Linked DNA regions of Arabidopsis thaliana. The protein of the gene in region 3 purifies or fractionates together with the protein of the main gene of each other region. This does not show direct contact. Each region holds a gene or a part of one and is shown on either strand. Other genes may lie near its edges. The genes, in order: ATMDAR2, MDHAR, PGK1 and MDAR6.

Region 1 (5,207 bases), on a different chromosome or scaffold from region 3:
GGTTCCGACGGGTTAAATTATCCGTCACTGCACAAGCAAGTGAATTCTACGGAAGCGAAAGTGTCGGAAGTTTTCTATAGAACAGTGACGAATGTCGGATACGGACCATCGACCTACGTGGCTAGGGTTTGGGCACCGAAGGGTTTGAGAGTTGAGGTTGTGCCTAAGGTTATGAGTTTCGAGAGGCCTAAAGAGAAGAGGAATTTTAAGGTTGTGATTGATGGAGTTTGGGATGAGACAATGAAAGGGATTGTGTCTGCTTCTGTGGAATGGGATGATTCGAGAGGACATCTTGTGAGAAGTCCAATTCTGTTGTTTCGATCGGATAACGATTACCGTTAAAAAAGACAAGACTGCTTTTTTTTAGACCCTTGTTTGTTTGTTTTTTGTTTTTTAGTGTTTGGTTATGATTTCTATTTCTAGTGTTGTTTTTTTTCTCCTTTTTAGTGTTGAAATAAATAGGAACATATACAATAATTCTCCCAAACTTTAGTCGAATTAAAACTTGAATAGTGTTGTTGGAGAAGGACCAATCTCCAACAAGTTAGTAAAAATGTCTACAAAATTTGGACATAAAAAACTCATATGAAGACAAGGTTTTTGTAACGCCGGATCCGAGAAAAGTGACTGAAATGTTTCCAACAAGTTTGGTGTACCATTTTCGAAGAAAGAAATATCAGAAAAGTGAATTGAGTAGCTTTCAATTTTATTTTGGAACCAAACAATCACAAGAAAGTGGGTCAAACAAATAACAAAAATGTCGACTCTGCTATCATAATAGCAAAGTGACATAAAAGCCACTCTGAACTCAAAGCTCACACTAACACACAACCTAGAAAGGCAATTTATATATTTGTGGCGAAGGAAAGGCCTTCCTTAGATAGCACTTCAAGGCTCTCAACAGAAGGTTGTGCTCGTGCAAGTTTAGCAATTGCATTGTTCTCTTCAGGACTTCCACCTTCTAAAAATGCTCCAACCACTTTCCGTTCTTTAATCCAGTAGCTCCCGAATTTCGGCTTTGGCGATTCCGGGTCATTGTCCCCAAACAATACGCTTTCTCCAACGTTGTCACCGTAGAATTGCCATGAGAGATCAAAGGCTCGAGAGTAAAAGTATGGAAGATAGTCATATTCCGGAATTGAGTTCCCTTCCTCAGCCGCCTTGATTGCCTACAAAATCATTATATCAATCGATTCAATTAGGATGATTTTATACAGCTCCTTCATTAAGACAGGTTGAAGAAGCATTATAATTATTACCTTTACGGCTTGTTCAGCGGATTTGCGAGCATGGTCAACGTGTTCAACGCGTCTCATTTCATTGTAGAGTTTCATTGGGAAGGTGGCTACATCACCAATGGCGTATACATCTGGAAGGCTTGTTTTGAAGAACCCATCAGTCTGCAATCAAAGAAAGATCTCATGAGTAAACAATAATAATAAGAACTATATCTCAGATACAGAAGAAAATGGAGTATGCAAGTCACAAACCTTCAAACCACCCTTCTCTTCTTCAACTTGATCTTTGAAGAGTGATATAATTGGTCTACCACCGACACCCACTATCACAATATCAGCTTCTAACGTTCTTCCGTCTTTCAATTTCACCTCAGTGACCTGCATCATTAAGCAACAGAGAGATATTGTTGAAGCAGCGGAGAGAAAAACTGCTGTTTGTCAAGTTTGAACGGTGATGCTAATTGCTAACCTCTCCATTTGAGTTGGTAGTGAAACCAGATGCAACAGTGCCTTTGACAATGTTAATTCCTTTGTTGGCATAGTAACCCTCGTAGAAGGAAGCAATGCCAGCGGTGAAAAGCCGAGGCACTTTTCAAAGACACAACAAAAAGGAAAGGTGTTAAGCAAAGGGAATACGATGAGAATTCTATGGTAGTGGTTTGGCTTGTATCAACTTACTGCACCAAGGTTCTGGATAAACCATGGTAACGTCGAGGTTGTTAGCCTTCAGAGCAGCACCGAGTTCAAGACCGATGTAACCGCCACCAACAACCACAGCCTTTCCTTTTTCCTTTGTTTCCATTGCATAAGCAAGGTAATCAGCATCTTCGAGTTCTCTCAGGTAGAATATATTCTTAGCATCTGCACCTGGGACGCCAAAATCTGACAACCTTATGACCTACACAATTTAAGAAATTCCTTAGAAGAGATGCAAAAAGAAAAAAGAGACTAAAAATGGAAACTTCCAAAGTAAGAAGTGCAAGGATAGATTGTGCTCACAGAAGAACCAGTTGCAGCTAGCAAAGTTTGGTACTTGAAGACTTGTCCAGTCCCACTGACAAGTGTCTTCGCAGCAAGATCTGCTTTGACAATCTCTGTGCCCAAAATCAGCTCAATACCTGCAGAAACGACATATGAGAATGAATGAGAGACATTGAGCTAAAAAAACGCTTAAAGCACAAAAAAAAAGGAAACTCACCTTTCTCTTTGTACCATTGAGGGAACTGTCTCTCTCCCCCAATTCCAGCAGCAACATAGAAATTCGGAAGTGTAGCTTTATCTATATACCATAAGAACAAACAAATCTAATTCAGAAACCACGCACAGACTAAACTAAATCTCCAAATGATGTAGAATGAAGTTTTTACTTTCGAGGTGGATATATCCCTTGCTAAGTGCAGGACGCTCATATGGAGGAACCTAATTAACACCAAAAAATTGCCAATACTATAAATAACAAGACAAGAATCTAGCTTAAATTTAGTTCCAAGTCATGAAAACTTACTTGTTCCCTGGAAATGATAGCAAGTTCACCAGGCTTGACACCTTGGTTGAAGAACTCTCTCGCCGCGTATCCCTGTGAATCACAACATCCCAAAACAACAATAAATTGGGAATCTAGTTCCTATCTTCCCGTAATCATAGAAATCACTAGATCTAGCGATACAATCTACTCTACTTCTCAGAGTGATAAGGATACAAATGAGCAGTAGTACAGTGTGATGATTCGTAAGCGAAGAGATTGAGGAAAAAAAACAAATCCGATGAAGAAGAAGAACAGAGAGAGACTTACGGCGGCGACACCACCTCCGACGATCACATACTTGAAGCTCTTTTCTTCTGCCATTGATGCGATCGAATCGTCTCTCTTTGATTTGTCTTTTTTCCTTTTCTTCGTCTTTTTGGATCCGAGAAATGTGATTGGGTCAGAGGTTTTTATAGGGGACTTTGTCCAGTATAGAAGGAATCTTTAAACGTGGCTTAATTTAAACCGTTAGATATCCCGCTTCGTGCACAAATCGAAATCGAACCGTTACAAGTCAGCGTCTTATATTTTTGACCCGGTCTTATTTAACACGTGACAGATCTGGTCGATGTAAAACGGACATTCAGATTTAAAATTCCGGTATTACTCGGTTTACTGATTACATTTCACTTTCAGTCTTTCATATTTGGAGAATTTTATTTACATACCAATTACCAAGAGAAAATATATGAAAGGAATCATAAATCTAGTGTCAGCAACCACTAGTCAAATTGATGAATATAGTAGAATATCTTTATGGAGTTGTTGGTTGGTTTTAATTTCTTTATTAGACCAATCTGTAGTTTTATGTATAGTTTAAGACTTTAAGTTTAATTCGATTATTTGTGTCAGTGAATCATTTCCATAATTTATTTGGATATAATGTAAAGACAGTTAAAACAAGGACCTTATCTTGATCCCTAAACCCGATAGTACAAAAAGGATATGTATTTACTACACTAATCATATGATTTTGTTTGCATAAACAAAGATGAATAACCTTAAGACCATAAATTATAGTAATTAATCAAACTACTAATAATCTAAATGATTTATGTCGTTATCTTATGTTTTAAGATCTACTACAGTAAAGAAAGAAACTACCTAGTTTTGTATAATTAGTATATTACAATAACATTAACATATGACCTAATGTGAATAAGAGTATTACATTAATAGTTTTGAGAGGAAAGATGATTTGGATTTTAGTCAAAAGAGGAGAAAAAATTGTCAAGAATGATGACCTAAATTCCAACCAGATAGAATTTCCAGAAATTGGGACCTAAATATTAATGATGTAATGTCACTGTATTAAAGACCTAAACTATTAATGATGTGGACCTTGGCGGCCTAAAACTCTTCCATGCCTACAATAATGAGAGTTTCAAATCCAATTTAATGAGAAAAGAACAGAGATAGGGCTGTACTAGAACACTAATTTACCGGACGTATCAAAAGTACCCTATTGATTTTGACATATGTTAATAAGTTAAAATGTACTTTGTATTATAATTATTCCTTATGATTTTGACATTTGTTACCAATCTTCTTGGAAGATTAGTAATTAGCACTCGAATACAAAGAGTACTATTTTTAGTTTACTGCATGCATGATTTTGACATTTGTTACTAAATCTTCTTGGAAGATGCTAGGATGACGAATACTTCTTACAGTGACAAGTGACAACCATGTAGAAGAAAGGATCTAAATGACTGACTAAATTCATCGGTTACTTTTGTTGTGGTTATAGATATTGACGGGCTTCTGTTAATGGGCCGGTCCGATCTATCAGATTTCGAAGAATACCCACGAATAGTTTTTATGAAGTACTCACTTTGTTGGATCCATATACAATATTACAAATTATTCCAAAACTCCCAAGTCAACTGACCTGTTGTTAGAAATAAATTTTCAAAAATGCGAACATAACTTTCACTTGTACCCTAGATGCAGACTTAGTGCTAAGCACAAGGGCTCAAATATTTGACCATAATGAAAGATGTTTTAACTTAATAGTATAAACTTATTAGCAAGTCAAGAAAAGGTCAACGTTACTATTTAGAAGACCGATATTAATATAGGGTATGTGATAATTTGCAATTGTTACATTATTCACGTATTAAGTTACTTAAATTTTGTTGACACTTTTACGTGCGGATGTGATTCACATAAAGCTTTATTATTTCGGTATGAGAGTATTGAGTATTCTATGTTCTACCTAAAAAAACATGGTGACAACCCTAATTAATATACAAAGTTTACTAAATTATTTGTTGTGGTCCATATCTTCCTGAATTTGCGAACATTTTAAACTTTAAGAATACTTTAAAATGCTTTAAAAATCAGCTTATCTTTAAGAAAACTAGTAAAAATTTCAATAAGTTAATGTTATTTTAACTTTTGAATATTCAAGAGAGAAACATTATAATTTCCCTCGAGCGAAG
Region 2 (5,356 bases), 1.0 Mb from region 3:
TTTCTTCACGTCCCTAATTCATTAATTCTCTTACGTTTTCTGGTTTGTGTAAATAATATACATTCTTTTTCTTTGGGCAAAAATATAATATTCATTCTTAAACGGAAAGTAACATGGTATAATTGAATGAGACGGTGACGTATATACAGCCAGACTGCAGTAATAATATTCGTGAATCGTGATTATAAATTCATAATTACGTACATCTCCTTCTTAATTAACTTACTCACGCAATTCCATTCATGGCTAAAATAATGTGCTCTTCACCAAACGTTACTAACTTACCAATTTTATACACACATCATCTTTTCTTTTGATAAAAGCTCTTCCCCTTTGTGGTATTGTTCTTAATTACGATAAATATCTTCAATGATTAAAACCCAATTCATTCCCCTTGTTGCTTCTTTAATCGAACTCATGAGGTGGCTTATATAAATGGTATAATTAATGTGGATTAAAATTGTACCCTTTAATTCATGTAATGTGTCATTTCCGTTTCTTCACGTAATCTCACCGTAATCTCTATATATAAGCACACAAGCAACACAATCGATCATAAACCAAAAAAAACGAGAGAGAGAGATGGGGAAGGGGGGTTGGCTTCTTAACTTTCTGAACCATGCCAAAAATCAAGAAAGTGTGGAGAATCTTGACAAAAACGGTGCCGTAAAGGCCCCAAGCAGTGGGTTTAAGATGCCGTTGCATTACCCAAGATACACAAAGGAGGATTATGAAGAGATGGAAGAGTGGAGATTGGATTTGCTTCTCTCGGAATACGGACTTCTTGCCTTCCATGACAATACTCTCCATGAGAAGCGAGCTTTTGCAATCGACACTTTTATATGGCCTCATCACCCATAATTTCATCTCCTTCATTTATCTTGTTTATATTTCTTAAGAGTAACGGAGATTGTAGAGATACAACATTGGAAGAGATGACAAAAACCGGGATATCAATCTACCGGATATATATGTCACAAAAAGATTTTAGTATATTTTTAGTAATTTGATTTCTACTATATTCTTTAGTTTTCATTAGATCTCTTTATGTTATGTTATCTATATAAGTTTGGCTTTGGATTTTGCATATATTAACCTTTCCGTTCAATAAAATATAGTTTTACCGCTTCTTATGGTATCAAAGCCTTCATCCAAAACTTACTCAAATGAGATTGACTCTCATGTTAAAACAGAGAAAAACAGAGAAAAAACAAAAGATCATTAAAGTCACTATATAAACATCATGATTCATCTCCATCTCCACCCTTAATTTCTTTACTAGTCCGTTCGTTCTCGCCACTATTGTTGTCCGTGATTGTACTTCTTCATAAGCATCACTGAGGAAGCAAATTCTAAAACAATAGTATCTTTTAACAATCATAAAGTAAAACAGTTTTTTTTTTTTTGTTCTTATATATATACTACTTATTACACATTTAAACTTTGGTTTTGAACAGTGAAAATGTTGCTTGCAATTTTTTTAACTTTGTAGAAATCAGGCAAGTTCTTAAGTTGACAAATGACATATACTAGTAATTTTCACGAACGTTATCCCACTAAAGTAGTCATACCCAAAACAAAATTGTTTAAATAAAAGTAACTTAATTATATCATTGAGATTCGAGTGAATAATGCCAATGAAATTTAATATTCATTATCTGACACTCTGAAACTATGATTAACTACATAATTATTTAATTTAACGTTTGTACCAGCTAATAGTATACACGTTTTTATGACAAACATTTTTGAATTTTTTGAGTTAAAAAATAATAATGGTTTTCGTCGTAATAGGAGAGGACAGACAATTCCAACGTGATATGTACGTTTATCATGTTACTTAGTCAGCAGATCATTTCTTCGGATTATATAATAGCTATTTAGAAACATTAAAGGTGTGGATTATATTATAGTCAAGTCTTTCCAATATGAATATTATATCATCCACCAATACATAATTATTGTCAAATACAAGTTGAGTCAGATTAGTCAAATACAGGCAACCAAGACTCGAGATCCTCATCGTCTCTCCACTTTATATAAACCCCAAGTCAGTACTTCTCATAATATACCAAAAACGAAACTGAGAAAGAAGTTTTATTTATTAATTAATGGCGGAAGAGAAAAGCTACAAGTACGTGATCATTGGAGGTGGTGTAGCCGGCGTAAGTAAATGCATTTTCAATTTTGAACTTTTCTTTTGACAACAACATATCTTTTATCAAGTTTAAATTCGATTGTAACACAACAACAACAACAACAATAACACTAATACAAACCAGTAAATTACATGTTTTGCCCAACATTTTTATCAACTCGCATTGTTCAGTTTTGTAGATGATGAGACTTTTTTTGTTGACTCTGTTTTTTTTTTGTTTTTTTTTTTGGCTTAAGAATCATTGTTCAGTTTGTGTTCATTCTTTGCTTACAAATCATCGCTTATTTCGCATCCGTGCTTTGCTTACGAATTCCTTTCTCTAACTCTCTGTTATTTTACTCTCACTTTTACATGTAAATCCCTTTATGCTTATTAAGTTATTATACACAAGAAATTGTTTATGATTTTCTTCTATTAAATGTTATTCATGTAACGAATACGCATCTCTCTGAATTGACTTTTTTTTTTTTTTTTTTTTGGGCATTTCGGAATCACAGGGTTACGCGGCGAGAGAGTTTAGTAATCAGGGCCTGAAGCCTGGTGAACTCGCAATCATTTCCAAGGAACCAGTACGTTTTTTCACTCTTATGACTTATGAGCGTTTGCATGTTACAATTTGGTGTTTTGCTTTTCCAAATAATAATACCACTACTTTTTTTGTTTGCAAACGTCAATTGAAAACACAAATACAAGCGCAAACTCTGGTTGCATTTGCATTTGCGTCTCAAGTTTATGAAAACTATTTTTAGAAAGTCGAAATAATTAAAGCCATCCTTAATATTTGATTGTCTAGTCTGAAAATTGATGTTGAAGTCCATAACCATGTTTTTTTTGTGTGTGTGTCAATAGGTGCCTCCTTTTGAGCGTCCTGAACTAACCAAGGTATATATTGACCTCGAAGGTAAACCTTTTAACTCTAAAACATCTCTGTCAATGGATATATTTTAATTGCTATCGGATTTTGGTTAACTTTGATCATCATTACAGTCAATCCGACCCTTGCAAATATCTATGTTTGTGCTGGAACTGGAGAAGCGAAGCAGTACCCTAACTGGTACAAAGAGAAAGGTAATGTTTTGTTTATGTCTTCTCCGAGAAATCTCTGTGATTTCACTTGCAATATATTTGGTGATCTGAGATATTCAAATTTTACAGGGATTGATCTAATTGTGGGCACAGAGATAGTCAAAGCAGATCTTGCTTCAAAGACACTTGTTAGTGATGATGGCAAAATTTACAAGTACCAAACTTTGCTAATTGCAACCGGTTCTACTGTGAGTAAAATACTTATGATCTCTTCCTCTCTCTTTCTGTTCTTTGTTCTTAGTTCATCTCGAGAAACTCTAATATTTTTTGCAGAACATAAGATTGTCAGAAATTGGCGTCCAAGAAGCAGATGTTAAGAATATATTCTACCTAAGAGAAATCGAGGATAGTGATGAGCTTGCCTTGGCTATGGAACTATATGTGCAAAGGGGAAAGGCCGTCATCATTGGCGGCGGTTTCTTAGGGCTTGAGATAAGTTCTGCTCTAAGGGCTAATAATCATGAAGTGACCATGGTTTTTCCAGAACCTTGGCTTGGTAAGTTGATACTTAACAAAAAACATTTTAGCTAAATAATTACACTGTATTCGTAACAGATTTTCCTCTGTTTTATCGTTGTATAGTACACCGGTTTTTCACCGCTGAGATAGCTTCATTCTATGAGAGTTACTATGCCAACAAGGGAATCAAAATCATCAAGGGAACTGTAGCAACTGGATTTAGCACCAACTCAGATGGAGAGGTCACTGAGGTGAAACTAGAGGATGGAAGAACCCTAGAAGCTAACATAGTTGTCGCTGGTGTCGGTGCTAGACCGGCCACCTCACTCTTCAAAGGCCAACTTGAAGAGGAGAAGGGTGGAATAAAGGTTTATGATTTACCCTACCGGCGAAAAACAGAGCTCTTGTCAATTACCATAATTAGTGATTAATGATTATTCGTTTTGATTGTAGACTGATGGGTTCTTCAAAACAAGTGTGCCTGATGTATACGCACTTGGAGATGTAGCCACATTCCCAATGAAAATGTATGGCGGGACGAGGCGTGTTGAACACGCCGACAATGCTCGCAAATCTGCTGCACAAGCAGTCAAAGTACGAGCATTTACTAGCTTGATTCTATAGTCGAATATACCAAACTCTTCTATATATACTAATGATGGTGTTTTGCAGGCAATCAAAGCGGGTGAAGAAGGGAAAACGATCCCAGATTACGATTATCTTCCCTATTTCTACTCTCGATTTTTCAAACTATCGTGGGAATTCTATGGGGAAAACGTTGGAGAATCTGTACTGTTTGGAGATAATGACCCGAAATCTCCAAAGCCAAAGTTTGGGACGTATTGGGTTAAAGATGGGAAAGTAGTAGGAGTGTTCCTAGAAGGAGGTACTCAAGAGGAACACAAGGCTATTGCTAAAGTGGCACGAGCACAACCTTCCGTTGAGAGTCTTGACGTGTTATCCGAGGAAGGCCTTTCTTTCGCCACCAAGTTCTATAGCACCTCTCTTTGAGACATTGGGTCTTGTTTAGTCACATTGATGTAATAATCTCCTTTGTCTTTGATTTCATATCGAGCCCCTATTGTATTTCGAAAAATAAATTAAATATAATAATGCATTTTGTTTGGATTATCAAAACATTGGATTTTAAGTTCTTTCATTCGTCATGATAGACATTCAGTTTTGGATGCACATGAACACATGGCATTGGTCATGCTTTTGATGACACTTTGAGTCAGACCAAAATTGTCACATTTTAAAAAAAAAGTCAAAACACAACTGAAACTTTAAATTTTTTGAGAATCAACTATCAATTACACACATAATTCAACGTCAATTTAATTCATAAGTAATATAACACATGTACTACCAAATCACACCCAATATTCGCTAACTTTTTTTTTTAACAACAGAATCGTGCTTCTCACGAGATGCCTTCTCGAATTATCCCATGTCACGGAAGTTGATATCATCTCAATCTTCGAAACCCTAATCTCCTGCTTTATCAAAACCCAGGAAATGCTTATCTCTCTCCAAGCCCCACCAATCTCAAACCCTCGGCAAGATCTCCACTTTCAACCCTTCCTCTGCCCACACCCTAGCCACGTAGATATTCGTCACTGTCGGGTAAAAAATCGCCAACGCTTCGATCGT
Region 3 (4,528 bases):
TTGGCACTAAAAATAGGGAGATATTTAAAGTAAAGTTTGGTTAGTAGGTGAAGAGGTCCAAGTAATAAGAAGAAGAGACAGACACGCGACTGGCTCCTTTTATTTTATTTTATTTTGTCTTAAAGCTTTTGGCGAGTTTGCTTGTGTGTGAGTGTGTGGTTATGGACTCTCCGTTCAAACCTGATGTCGTCAGAGGTCAAGTGGCTCTCATCACCGGTGGTGGATCCGGTATCGGTTTTGAGATCTCTTCTCAGTTTGGCAAACATGGAGCTTCTATCGCTATCATGGGACGACGAAAACAAGTCCTCGATGACGCCGTCTCTGCTCTTCGATCTCTTGGAATCCAGGTAATCAGCGATTTTTGTTTTGAGGACTTTGTTTGTTGGATATGTGTTTGAATCTGTCTGATTTCTGTTTCGTTTGAAGGCTATTGGATTGGAAGGTGATGTTCGTAAGCAAGAAGATGCGAGAAGAGTTGTGGAAGCAACTTTTCAGCATTTTGGTAAACTTGATATTCTTGTTAACGCCGCTGCTGGCAATTTTCTGGCTGCTGCTGAGGATTTGTCTCCTAATGGCTTCAGAACAGGTTCCTTTTTCGTTTTCTCATTAATTTGATCATGATCTGAGAAGAATTATGCCTGAAAGTTTGTCAATTTAGCTCAAGGAAACGTTTTTTTGTTGTGCATGTGCAGTCTTAGACATTGATGCGGTAGGAACATTCAACATGTGTCACGCAGCTCTCAAGTATCTTAAGAAAGGAGCGCCTGGAAGAGACTCATCAAGCGGTGGAGGTTCGATTATTAACATTAGCGCGACTTTGCACTACACGGCTTCTTGGTACCAAATACATGTCTCTGCAGCCAAGGTAATTTGATTAGTCTGATAGAGTCATTCAATGTCTTGAGTTTTGGTTAGAGAATCAAGAACTAAGTAATAGGAACAAAAGATGTAGCAAAAATGTGATCTTAGGAGTTTGAAACTTGAAACAGGCTGCAGTTGATGCTACCACAAGAAACTTGGCATTGGAGTGGGGAACTGACTATGATATTAGAGTGAACGGGATTGCTCCAGGTCCTATTGGAGGTACACCTGGAATGAGTAAACTTGTACCTGAGGAGATTGAAAACAAAACCAGAGAGTACATGCCTCTTTATAAAGTTGGAGAGAAGTGGGATATCGCTATGGCTGCACTCTACCTCAGCTGTGATTCTGGTATGCTGAGTTAAATAAAGCACACTCTTTAATATAAAACATATATACATGGTTAGATGATGTAACTCATTGCTTGATTTGTTTAACAGGGAAATATGTGAGCGGACTAACAATGGTGGTAGATGGAGGACTGTGGCTTAGCAAACCTCGCCACTTGCCTAAAGAAGCGGTGAAGCAACTCTCTCGTGCGGTGGAGAAGAGGTCTAGGGCCAAGCCTGTTGGTCTCCCAACCAGCAAGCTGTAGATCATTTGAATTTCAGATATCAAATAAGTGCACATTGAAAAAATGTTTTGGTTTATTGAATTACATTGGAGACTGAGAAAATGGTATTAAGATTATGTAGATCAAACTATCTTATGCACAATAAAGTAGCTTTCTTTGCAAAAGAGGCAAAACAGTAACGAATATATGATCAAAAAGATAATCGCTTTTGAACCTCTCATCAGTGATAAGAGAGAAATATTCCAAACTCATAAAATCTCAAATGGCTAATAAATAAGAACATTGTGAGTCACTCTCTCTGTTTCTCATCTCCTCATCTTTTTATCTTCTTTGATTGATCCACATGGCTTCCGCTGCCGCAAGTTCCGCCTTTTCACTCCTTAAGTCCACCGGCGCTGTTGCTTCCTCCGCCGGAACTCGCGCACGTGCCTCCCTTCTGCCAATTCCCTCTACCTCTGTTTCCGCGCGTCCTCTAGGCTTCTCCGCCACTCTAGATTCCCGTCGTTTCTCTCTCCACGTTGCTTCCAAAGTTGAATCGGTGCGTGGGAAGGGAAGCAGAGGAGTGGTTTCTATGGCGAAGAAGAGCGTCGGAGATCTGACCTCAGCTGATTTGAAGGGGAAGAAGGTTTTCGTGAGAGCTGATCTCAATGTACCTCTCGATGATAATCAGACTATCACTGACGATACCAGAATCCGTGCCGCCATTCCAACGATCAAGTATTTGATTGAAAATGGTGCTAAAGTTATCCTCTCCACTCATCTGGTAATATTATTCCCACACACTCCTTACGTTTGATTCCTCCATCACCTGAACTAAAGTTGAACACTTTGATCTTTCAGGGAAGGCCAAAGGGAGTCACCCCAAAGTTTAGTTTGGCTCCTCTTGTCCCTAGGCTCTCCGAGCTTCTTGGTATTGAGGTAAAGTCCGTGATTTGTCTCAGTAATCAATCATCTACCTATGAGAATCAATCACTTGAGACAGCTTATTGATGGTGAATTTTGCAGGTCACGAAAGCTGATGATTGTATTGGCCCAGAAGTGGAAAGCTTGGTGGCTTCTCTACCTGAAGGTGGAGTTTTGCTTCTTGAGAACGTCAGGTTTTACAAGGAGGAAGAGAAGAACGATCCTGAGTTTGCTAAGAAGCTTGCTTCTCTAGCTGACCTTTATGTCAATGATGCTTTCGGAACTGCTCACAGAGCTCATGCTTCTACCGAAGGAGTCACTAAGTTCTTGAAGCCTTCAGTTGCTGGTTTCCTTTTGCAAAAGGTAATATTTTGATAGAGATTATTCTATTCAGCATTGAAGCATCGTTGCTACAAATGGTACCATGAACTTTTTGTTTACTTCTCTCTACCTCTATAGGAACTGGACTACCTAGTTGGTGCTGTTTCAAACCCAAAGAGACCATTTGCAGCCATAGTGGGTGGTTCCAAAGTCTCATCCAAGATTGGAGTTATTGAATCGCTTCTGGAGAAGTGTGATATTCTTCTTCTTGGTGGTGGAATGATCTTCACATTCTACAAGGCACAGGGTCTTTCAGTTGGTTCGTCCCTTGTTGAAGAAGACAAGCTTGAATTGGCTACAGAACTCCTTGCCAAAGCTAAGGCCAAAGGAGTCTCTCTTTTGTTGCCAACAGATGTTGTAGTTGCTGACAAGTTTGCTCCTGATGCCAACAGCAAGGTCTGTCTCTCTCATTTTGCAATTGCGTAATGCTTGGCAGTTTTAATTCTATATGTGTGCCTTATAAAAGAAAAATGAGAAGTAGGTGTTGTTAGTTATGTTCCTGTTTAAGCATGATGTTCTGTGTTGATGATCATCCTAAAGGAGATAGATGAGAGAATAGAATTGATTAATATTGATCTTGCTAGAGCTTTGTGTTCTGAGTAAAGTATGTCATGTGGATGTTTGTAGATTGTGCCTGCATCAGGCATTGAGGACGGATGGATGGGACTGGACATTGGTCCAGACTCTATCAAAACTTTCAACGAAGCTCTGGACACAACACAAACAGTCATTTGGAATGGACCTATGGGAGTTTTCGAGATGGAAAAGTTTGCGGCTGGAACAGAGGTAAGAAAATGATTCCTCATAGAGTAAACAAATGGTAGATGAAAATTAGATTAAGTTTGGGATTATGGTTGTTGCAGGCGATAGCGAATAAACTAGCAGAGCTAAGTGAAAAAGGAGTGACAACGATAATAGGAGGAGGAGACTCAGTGGCTGCAGTGGAGAAAGTAGGAGTAGCAGGAGTCATGAGTCACATCTCCACTGGTGGTGGAGCCAGCTTGGAGCTGTTGGAAGGAAAAGTACTTCCCGGTGTGATCGCCCTTGATGAAGCAATCCCAGTCACTGTTTAGAAACTCTTACCATCTATAAGGCAAACGCTGTATACTTAAAAGAGTTTCTTTCGCTTTAAATCTACCTATGCAAAACTTTACTATGTATCAGAGTCTCATTCCCCGGAAAAGAAAACTCACATATTAAAATTCTGAAAAAAAATATCAAGAGATAAGAAAAGACATGGACCAGACACTAGTAATCAATCAAAAGACACAGACAAGTACTTGTTCCAAAAGCTTTTGGAAGTCTTCTTGATACCATCATCCCTTTGAGTGTAGGTTGGGTAGTTGGAAGATGATGAGCCATAGTAGTAATCGCTTAATGTATACTCTTTCTCCTTCAATTTCTCCAGCTCTGCTTTCAGATCACTGTTGAGAATCTGCTCACAATAAACTTTATTGCCTTCAAACGCAAAGTACATCTTCCAGAACATTTTCTTGTCCCTCTCTTCCTCCATATCAAACTCTTGCAGCATGTTCCGCAGAATCAAAGGCCCCTTCTTCCTAAAATACCCTATTACGAAATCTTGAAACCCCGCGAGTGGCCGTTCCAGGATATCTAGCATCTGGTTACATGACTTGTTAGTGTTCATCAACACAATCTCTTGAATGTGGAGAAACACATCTACGATGTTGTAGCAGTGCTTATCTCTCAGTGACTTTTGGTCTTCAGGAGTACTCAAACGAAGGTCATACGGATGGTAATAGAAACTCGGTGCTTGATATGGATACTCCTTGGGGAACTTGAGGTCGA
Region 4 (6,385 bases), on a different chromosome or scaffold from region 3:
AATTGTTTCTAACTTTTTTTTTATTAGTCATATACCAATTTCAAATTTGTTATTAGTGAAAGAGTCATTCAATGCCTTTTTCTGTTATTGGATTTGGCATCAATTGTTTTTTTTAGTTTTACCAACATTACACGTTTGTTTGCATTTTGCAATATTTCACCCATTAAAAACCGAGGGTGTTGTTTTTGCAAAACAATGGTCTCTTGTGTTAATCCAAGAATGATGTCATATTAAAATATAGATCGAGTTAGAGAAGAGTTTATAACAGTTTTGACATCTTGGCCGAATGATTTCCCCTATCAATGATGAACCTTGGCTATCATAGATATTTACCAACCACAAGGTTCTGCAGAATCACGATTTTTTTAGTTTGTTATTCCCACCATTCCGCAAATTTATACGATTTTGCAACATTCATAACCAATCATAAAAGCCCAACCTATCATAGATTCATAACCACTTTGACACTTTCTCAATTGTAGAACTCATAGGCAGTAAATAAATTTCTATGGCGTATGAAACGCGTTTAGGCTACAAAAACCTTTTTACATGTCGCAATCAATCCCACAAGACTCTATTACGTGCCGCAAAACAAATCCTTGCGTGAATTATAACAAAGTCTTCATTATTGTTTATACAAATTTCGTTTATGGTTTACAGTCGATAAAAGAAATCTAAATAAATAAATATTTTAATGATCCACGAAACAACCCATAGATCATGAGAAAACGATCTTTATCTATCTCAGTGACTAACATAGATTTTATTAGAAACAAAGCTCTCTAATGAGCAAAATATGATTATCCCAAAAAGAGGTTATAAATTATTCGAGGAGATTATTGACAACAGTGCTCTCTATAGATCATTTTTCCAATGGAAAGATGAATAACTCTCACCGGGAATAAAAGATGTTGATTTCTCTGAACCCAAAAGCTATTAAAAAAACTCCATGAAGTTTCCTTCTCTAACTCTGTAGAGCGGCTTGAGCAATCTCGAGAGCTTCTTCGACTGAAGATGCGCTTGCGAGTTTAGCCTTATCGACAAGTGGTTGGCTTCTTGCTAGCTTTGGTAGAAGCTGGAACTCCTGTTTCAAGAGATATACATAACAATGGAAGCAATTAAAATCCATATAGTTAACATATTTACATGAAAACAAAACCCATGCTGATGTAATTGCTATTGTCAAGTTTCAATGACCGTTCCAAAATATTCTAATTTTAGTCTCGCAGATCTAAAGAAGCATGATGCTCTAAAGATTGGCTAATTCAGAATGTTAACGAGGGAGATGCTAAGAAAGACTCTTACCTCAGGCGATCCGCTTTCTACTAGAACACCTTTCAACCTGCCTGTGTTACGATAATTACTCATCAAAGTTAGTTAATTTGCTAAGCTGTGTATTTGTGCAAGGTTAACTGAAGTGAGAAAAGGCTGAAGGAATTATTTACCAGATTCAATCCAGAAGGTAGCGATTTTCGGGTCAAAGTTCCCAACCTCCACTGTTTCTCCCACTGGCCAGTATGAATCAGTGGTTTAGCTACAGTGGAAATATTGTTTGAGTAATTGGATGGCGTCATATTTAGGTCAAATAGATTTACCATTATCTCCGAAAAACTGCCACCACACTTTTCTTGGGCTTCCTTCATACTCGAATACTCTTGAGTAGAAATATGGAAGATAATCGTACCTGCAAATATTGAGCAAGACAAGAACTAATAGGTGAATATCCGTTAAGGGATACAGGCAAAGTCTACAGATCTTTCCAGGGAAGAAGCTTACGTGTCAGTGTGTGCCGTGAGTAGTGATTTCACACAGTGTTGTGCAGAGCGGCGGGCGTGATCAACATGTTCAACTCGAGTCATCCTATCATATATCTGGTCATCAGACAATAAGATGATGAGTTTGCACTTCACGAGATAATTGATGGCTTAACATATATTATCTAGCAGCAAAGTACCTTCAAAGGGAAGGCTGCGACATCTCCAATAGCAAAAATTCCAGGGGTACTTGTCCTGAACAAGCCATCGACCTGTGGTTGAAGATGAGCTCTTATCAAACTTTTAATTGTATCAACATACTGATGTAGTTTCTTGTGAAGTTCTAACTCTGAAAACCGATTATCTTGGAAAATAAATCCGGATGTTTTGTAATAATAATACCTGAATTCCTCCAATTGATTTGTTCATGGCCAAAGTTTCAAAGGGGCCAATAGCAGGCTTAGCTCCAATTCCAATTACAACCTGTAAAGTAAGGATACACAGGTCGTACAAAAGTCAGTATTACATTGACCCTTCACAGTTTTCATTTGATCAAAGTTGTTGAATTTGCATCATTTGAGAAAGAAAAAAGTGAAGCTGAGCTACAACTATACCGTGTCTGCCTCAATTGTAGACCCATCAGCAAGCTTAACAGCTGATACACGCCCATCCGAACCTGCTTCCAAGTTATTTATGGAAGCGCCCTGTTCAACAGAAAGAGAAATTCAAGTTTGCACACTGTGTTTCTGAAATTCTTAGGTTTGCAGGAAAGCAAAGGCTTCAGTATAAGGTGTTGATCGTGTGCTGATATCTTACCTTGACAAACTTAACACCATTTTGACGGTACAGTTCTTCATATTTCTGAGCAAGCGATGGAGTGAACAATCTTTGCAAAAGCTGATCTTCAGGGAATACAATCTATTGTTCCACATGGGAAAGCCCAAAAGCAACTGTAAGTTAGTACATCTGTTCCACAATTTATCTGAACGTTTCTAGGAATTTGTTTAACTCATCGAATGATTAGAAGTATTCTTCATTTCTAGCACAATTTAAAAATTCAAGTGAAAGGGATAATAACCGTTGTATCTAGATTCCACGCAACAGCTGCAGCAGCAACCTCCATGCCGATGTAGCCACCACCAACAATGACAATTTTCTTTGCCTTTCCCTGTATCACATATTGGAAGGTTATTTTGTAGCCAGGAAATTTGGATTTTTCTGATGACGCATATTACAACATTGCATTAAGATGACAAAACTGGTAACTGGTAAAAATGCCCTTAGCTTACCAGAGATGCTATCAGTGAATCAGCATCTGCAACCTCCCGAATATAGTGAACCCCTGGCAAGTGCCCACCGATTTTATCTGGGAACCTACAATAAAAATCCAGAGCAAATATTCATAATATCAGTATACATGGTTGAAAAGGCCTAGGTTCTCTGATGTTGTTTATCAATCATTGCAAAAAAAATGCGACTTTCACTCACCTTGAGGCTGTACACCCTGTAGCGATAATTAGAGATCCATATTTTAACTGCTTCCCTGCGTCTGTGGTGAGTGTTTGCTTTTCAAAATCAGCTCCAGCCACTGGATCTTCATATATTACCTGTCCAAACAAAATGCATTAGTAAGACACAAGAGAAGACCACAAATTCACCGACGTACATTCCAAGCTGTACAGTTAATCAAACCAAAGACACTTCACTTACATTCATATATTTTAGAAAACAAAACTATGTATCAGAAGATGAATTACCTCAATTCCTTTCTCCTTATACCAATCTGGTGTTTGCCTTTCTCCACCACCTCCAACGCAAGTATGAAATCCCTGCATATACGACCACCCTCAATATAAACAGAGATCACAAAACTAAATCATACAAATCTTCATATCAGTAACAATCGTAACACTGTAAACAATCTACCGGTACTCATTCCATAATGTTCATGTAGCCAATTAAGAGCAATAGCACTAAAAGAACCACTCAAATTGATCGAATCAAAACATTAAAGTTGGCAAAGCTTACTGGTAAACGAGCTGGCTTCTTCTCTGGTGGGAACAAGTAAGCTTTTGTCAAAGCCGGTCTCTCATAAGGTGCGTAAGCCTAACAATAACAACCACAAATCCAACAATCAAACAAAGTAAAACCAATAGTGTTACTGATGAAGAAAACACTAAGGGATCGATTTGAATCACCTCTTTGGTCACAATGCATAGCCGACCATCAGCCATTCCATTTTCCACAAAAGTTCTAGCAGCATAACCAGCAGCATTTCCTCCACCAACAATCACAAACCTAACACAATCACACAATCAATCGCATAGAAATTCATCAACGCCAGAATCAAAATTGGAAGAATTATATATACGAACTCGCGATTCTCGTTAGCGAACGAAGCAGTGACGAGGCTTCTGGAAGCGATTCTAGAACCGATCGGAGAAAAACGAGCGGGAAATCGGCGAGCGAGAGACGGAGAAGACGGACACCAAAGAGATAATCCGGACTTCGTCGGCAACGTGGTTGATGCTAACGCCATGACTCTACGAACTGTAACAACAGATTAGAGAGATAAGATTTCGATCTAGGGTTTTGACAATCGAGGAAGAAGATGGTGGTGAGTGAGAGAGATAAGAAGACCTGCAGACATTAGTTTATAAGAAGAGCCAAATTCAGATTTAATTATTGAAACAAGTGTGTGAGTCTCTCTGTAGTGTTGGCTCTATAACAAAGCTAAAGGGCAATGAGAGTAGTTTGAAATTTGTGAAAAGAGAGATGATTTATTGTAAAAGATGGGTAGTGAAGAATGGAGCTGACTTGTCTTGTTGCTTTTGATTCATTTGTCTTTTGACTCCGAATTTTAATATCTTTATTGACATTTAGGCTTTCAATAGAACTTGCAAGTTAATGGAACTAAACCATTAGCAGATTACACCATTCTATTTTTAGGATGGAAAACAATTCGTCGCGGACGAAGCTTATTTTTAAGTTAAAATGGTAGTTGGTCTGTGGGGATTTTTATTTTATTTTCCTAGGACAACAATCCCTAATGCATAATGTTTTACGATACCATTGTAAGGGAGCTAGAGTTAAGAGGATTTGATTGAAGTTAGTCACTCTAGCCATAATGATTTATGTTATGTCCTTCAAGCAGATTATTTCATGGATTACATAGAGGTTGTTATGCTCTTGTAGTTTAAGAGAGTTTGATGATTTAGATTTGATACAAAAAAATTGTCAACTTTTGCAGATAAAAGATGATTTTAACTTTTAAAATCCTCCATTTGCCTTCTTTGATCTCACATTCTCACTTGTGAAAGCTTCGGAGCCGTAACTAAAGGGTTCCTTCAAAAATTTAAATTGTTTTTGGATATTATGCATTAATTTAACAAAATGAAAAATGAAAAATATAAGGAGAAGGGAAAACATATGACATGGGCCTGTCCAGAGTTCTAAAAGCCCAACCATAAATAGAAAAACAACAATAGACGAAACCAAGAAAATAAAATATCCTATTAGCCCCCAAAGAATTACAAAACTTCGAAATTGATTCCCAATAATTCAAAACTTTTACACAACTGGCGCCGAAACTTTCCCGGCTTGCTCCAACACCTCGAGAATCTCCGCACGACTCCTCACGATCCTATGAAAAACTTCTCTGATCTGTTGCTGTAACGGCACAAGCTCCTCCTCCATTCTCCTGCATATCTCCGCCATCTCCGCCACTTGCACCGCCGCAGATTCAGCAGCATCTTTCTCCGCCGGATAATGAAATCCATCTGCGAATTCCATCAACGAGTGACCTAGCTTCTCCATCCTCGTCATCTCCTCCATCAATCCAGCAGATCCTTTCTTCTCTTTCTTCTTCCACTCATCTCCGATTTTCTCATGGATTCCGATCAAACTCTGAGCCCAATTCAAATGTTTCGGCGGCACTGGTAAATGATTCGCTAATCCTGATCTCTCCTGACACGGAACCGCCGCCGTTAGCACCCACATTACGAAAACCATCACCGTACTCATTATAAACATTGGTTGAGGCAATCCCGCCGCTTCGTTACCACGTGGCGGCGTAAGATTCGCTGTCATTGCGTGGATCTGCTTCGCCGCCGACCAATTTCTCCCAACCGCCCACGACGACGATTTGAGCTGACCAATCGTTGCTCCTCCTTTACTCGCCGCCGATGATCCACCGCTTCGACGACCAAACGACCACGATCTCTCCGTCGTCTTATTCCCTCCGCCGCCGCCACCACCTCCGCCGCTAACATTCTCTTTATCCTCGAGACTCAACGCGACGACGAGATTCGCCAACGCGCGTTTAGCTCTCCTCACGTTACCGTCACCTAACGGACGTTGCTCCAAAGCCGTCACAGCAATCTCAGCTAAACGCTGGTAATGTCTAACGGAATCGATACCGTTAACAACGGCGGTACAAATGTCAAGCGCTTTAATCGACCGGTCTAACATTTCAGGAACTAACCGGTCAAAAGGCGGCTTAGAAATCTGGGTCGGGTCACGACCCATTAACAAAATCGCTTTGAATTCAGCTTCGCAACAGAGGAAAACATCCATCAGCTTACGAAGCCAAGTCACGGACATAATCTGCTCCGTCGCGGCTACGGAAGCTA

The links.
Region 1: the proteins of PGK1 (region 3) and ATMDAR2 fractionate together in Arabidopsis thaliana (co-fractionation; one large-scale study listed by BioGRID). This does not show direct contact.
Region 2: the proteins of PGK1 (region 3) and MDHAR fractionate together in Arabidopsis thaliana (co-fractionation; one large-scale study listed by BioGRID). This does not show direct contact.
Region 4: the proteins of PGK1 (region 3) and MDAR6 fractionate together in Arabidopsis thaliana (co-fractionation; one large-scale study listed by BioGRID). This does not show direct contact.

The regions. Positions count from the first base shown.
Region 1 is NC_003076.8:921,533-926,739, forward strand, and holds ATMDAR2 (Pyridine nucleotide-disulfide oxidoreductase family protein), read right to left. Parts: upstream 3,197-5,207; 5' UTR 3,085-3,196; coding exon 3,031-3,084; intron 2,815-3,030; coding exon 2,743-2,814; intron 2,658-2,742; coding exon 2,606-2,657; intron 2,518-2,605; coding exon 2,437-2,517; intron 2,357-2,436; coding exon 2,238-2,356; intron 2,137-2,237; coding exon 1,917-2,136; intron 1,827-1,916; coding exon 1,708-1,826; intron 1,617-1,707; coding exon 1,491-1,616; intron 1,401-1,490; coding exon 1,260-1,400; intron 1,170-1,259; coding exon 846-1,169; 3' UTR 516-845; downstream 1-515. Other genes in the region: AT5G03620 (Subtilisin-like serine endopeptidase family protein), read left to right, coding at 1-342. UniProt on the Arabidopsis thaliana protein: Catalyzes the conversion of monodehydroascorbate to ascorbate, oxidizing NADH in the process.
Region 2 is NC_003074.8:3,055,859-3,061,214, reverse strand, and holds MDHAR (monodehydroascorbate reductase), read left to right. Parts: upstream 1-1,970; 5' UTR 1,971-2,111; coding exon 2,112-2,165; intron 2,166-2,655; coding exon 2,656-2,727; intron 2,728-3,007; coding exon 3,008-3,059; intron 3,060-3,145; coding exon 3,146-3,226; intron 3,227-3,313; coding exon 3,314-3,432; intron 3,433-3,517; coding exon 3,518-3,740; intron 3,741-3,826; coding exon 3,827-4,071; intron 4,072-4,156; coding exon 4,157-4,297; intron 4,298-4,375; coding exon 4,376-4,714; 3' UTR 4,715-4,840; downstream 4,841-5,356. Other genes in the region: AT3G09950 (uncharacterized protein), read left to right, coding at 583-861. UniProt on the Arabidopsis thaliana protein: Catalyzes the conversion of monodehydroascorbate to ascorbate, oxidizing NADH in the process. Required for producing sufficient ascorbate to maintain the interaction between Piriformospora indica and Arabidopsis in a mutualistic state.
Region 3 is NC_003074.8:4,060,391-4,064,918, reverse strand, and holds PGK1 (phosphoglycerate kinase 1), read left to right. Parts: upstream 1-1,612; 5' UTR 1,613-1,778; coding exon 1,779-2,198; intron 2,199-2,275; coding exon 2,276-2,353; intron 2,354-2,440; coding exon 2,441-2,701; intron 2,702-2,797; coding exon 2,798-3,115; intron 3,116-3,346; coding exon 3,347-3,505; intron 3,506-3,582; coding exon 3,583-3,792; 3' UTR 3,793-3,974; downstream 3,975-4,528. Other genes in the region: SDRB (short-chain dehydrogenase-reductase B), read left to right, coding at 162-347, 427-586, 693-865, 990-1,212, 1,302-1,456; AT3G12775 (ubiquitin-conjugating enzyme family protein), read right to left, coding at 3,975-4,528. UniProt on the Arabidopsis thaliana protein: May trigger the phosphorylation of FTSZ2-1 and FTSZ2-2.
Region 4 is NC_003070.9:23,728,114-23,734,498, reverse strand, and holds MDAR6 (monodehydroascorbate reductase 6), read right to left. Parts: upstream 4,625-6,385; 5' UTR 4,405-4,624; coding exon 4,395-4,404; exon of another isoform or gene 4,305-4,394; coding exon 4,130-4,304; intron 4,053-4,129; coding exon 3,953-4,052; intron 3,861-3,952; coding exon 3,783-3,860; intron 3,584-3,782; coding exon 3,512-3,583; intron 3,362-3,511; coding exon 3,243-3,361; intron 3,129-3,242; coding exon 3,044-3,128; intron 2,923-3,043; coding exon 2,833-2,922; intron 2,673-2,832; coding exon 2,571-2,672; intron 2,459-2,570; coding exon 2,369-2,458; intron 2,238-2,368; coding exon 2,157-2,237; intron 2,027-2,156; coding exon 1,955-2,026; intron 1,872-1,954; coding exon 1,777-1,871; intron 1,685-1,776; coding exon 1,596-1,684; coding exon of another isoform or gene 1,582-1,595; exon of another isoform or gene 1,509-1,581; coding exon 1,446-1,508; intron 1,347-1,445; coding exon 1,306-1,346; intron 1,085-1,305; coding exon 965-1,084; 3' UTR 525-964; downstream 1-524. Other genes in the region: ROH1 (uncharacterized protein), read right to left, coding at 5,325-6,385. UniProt on the Arabidopsis thaliana protein: Catalyzes the conversion of monodehydroascorbate (MDA) to ascorbate, oxidizing NADH in the process.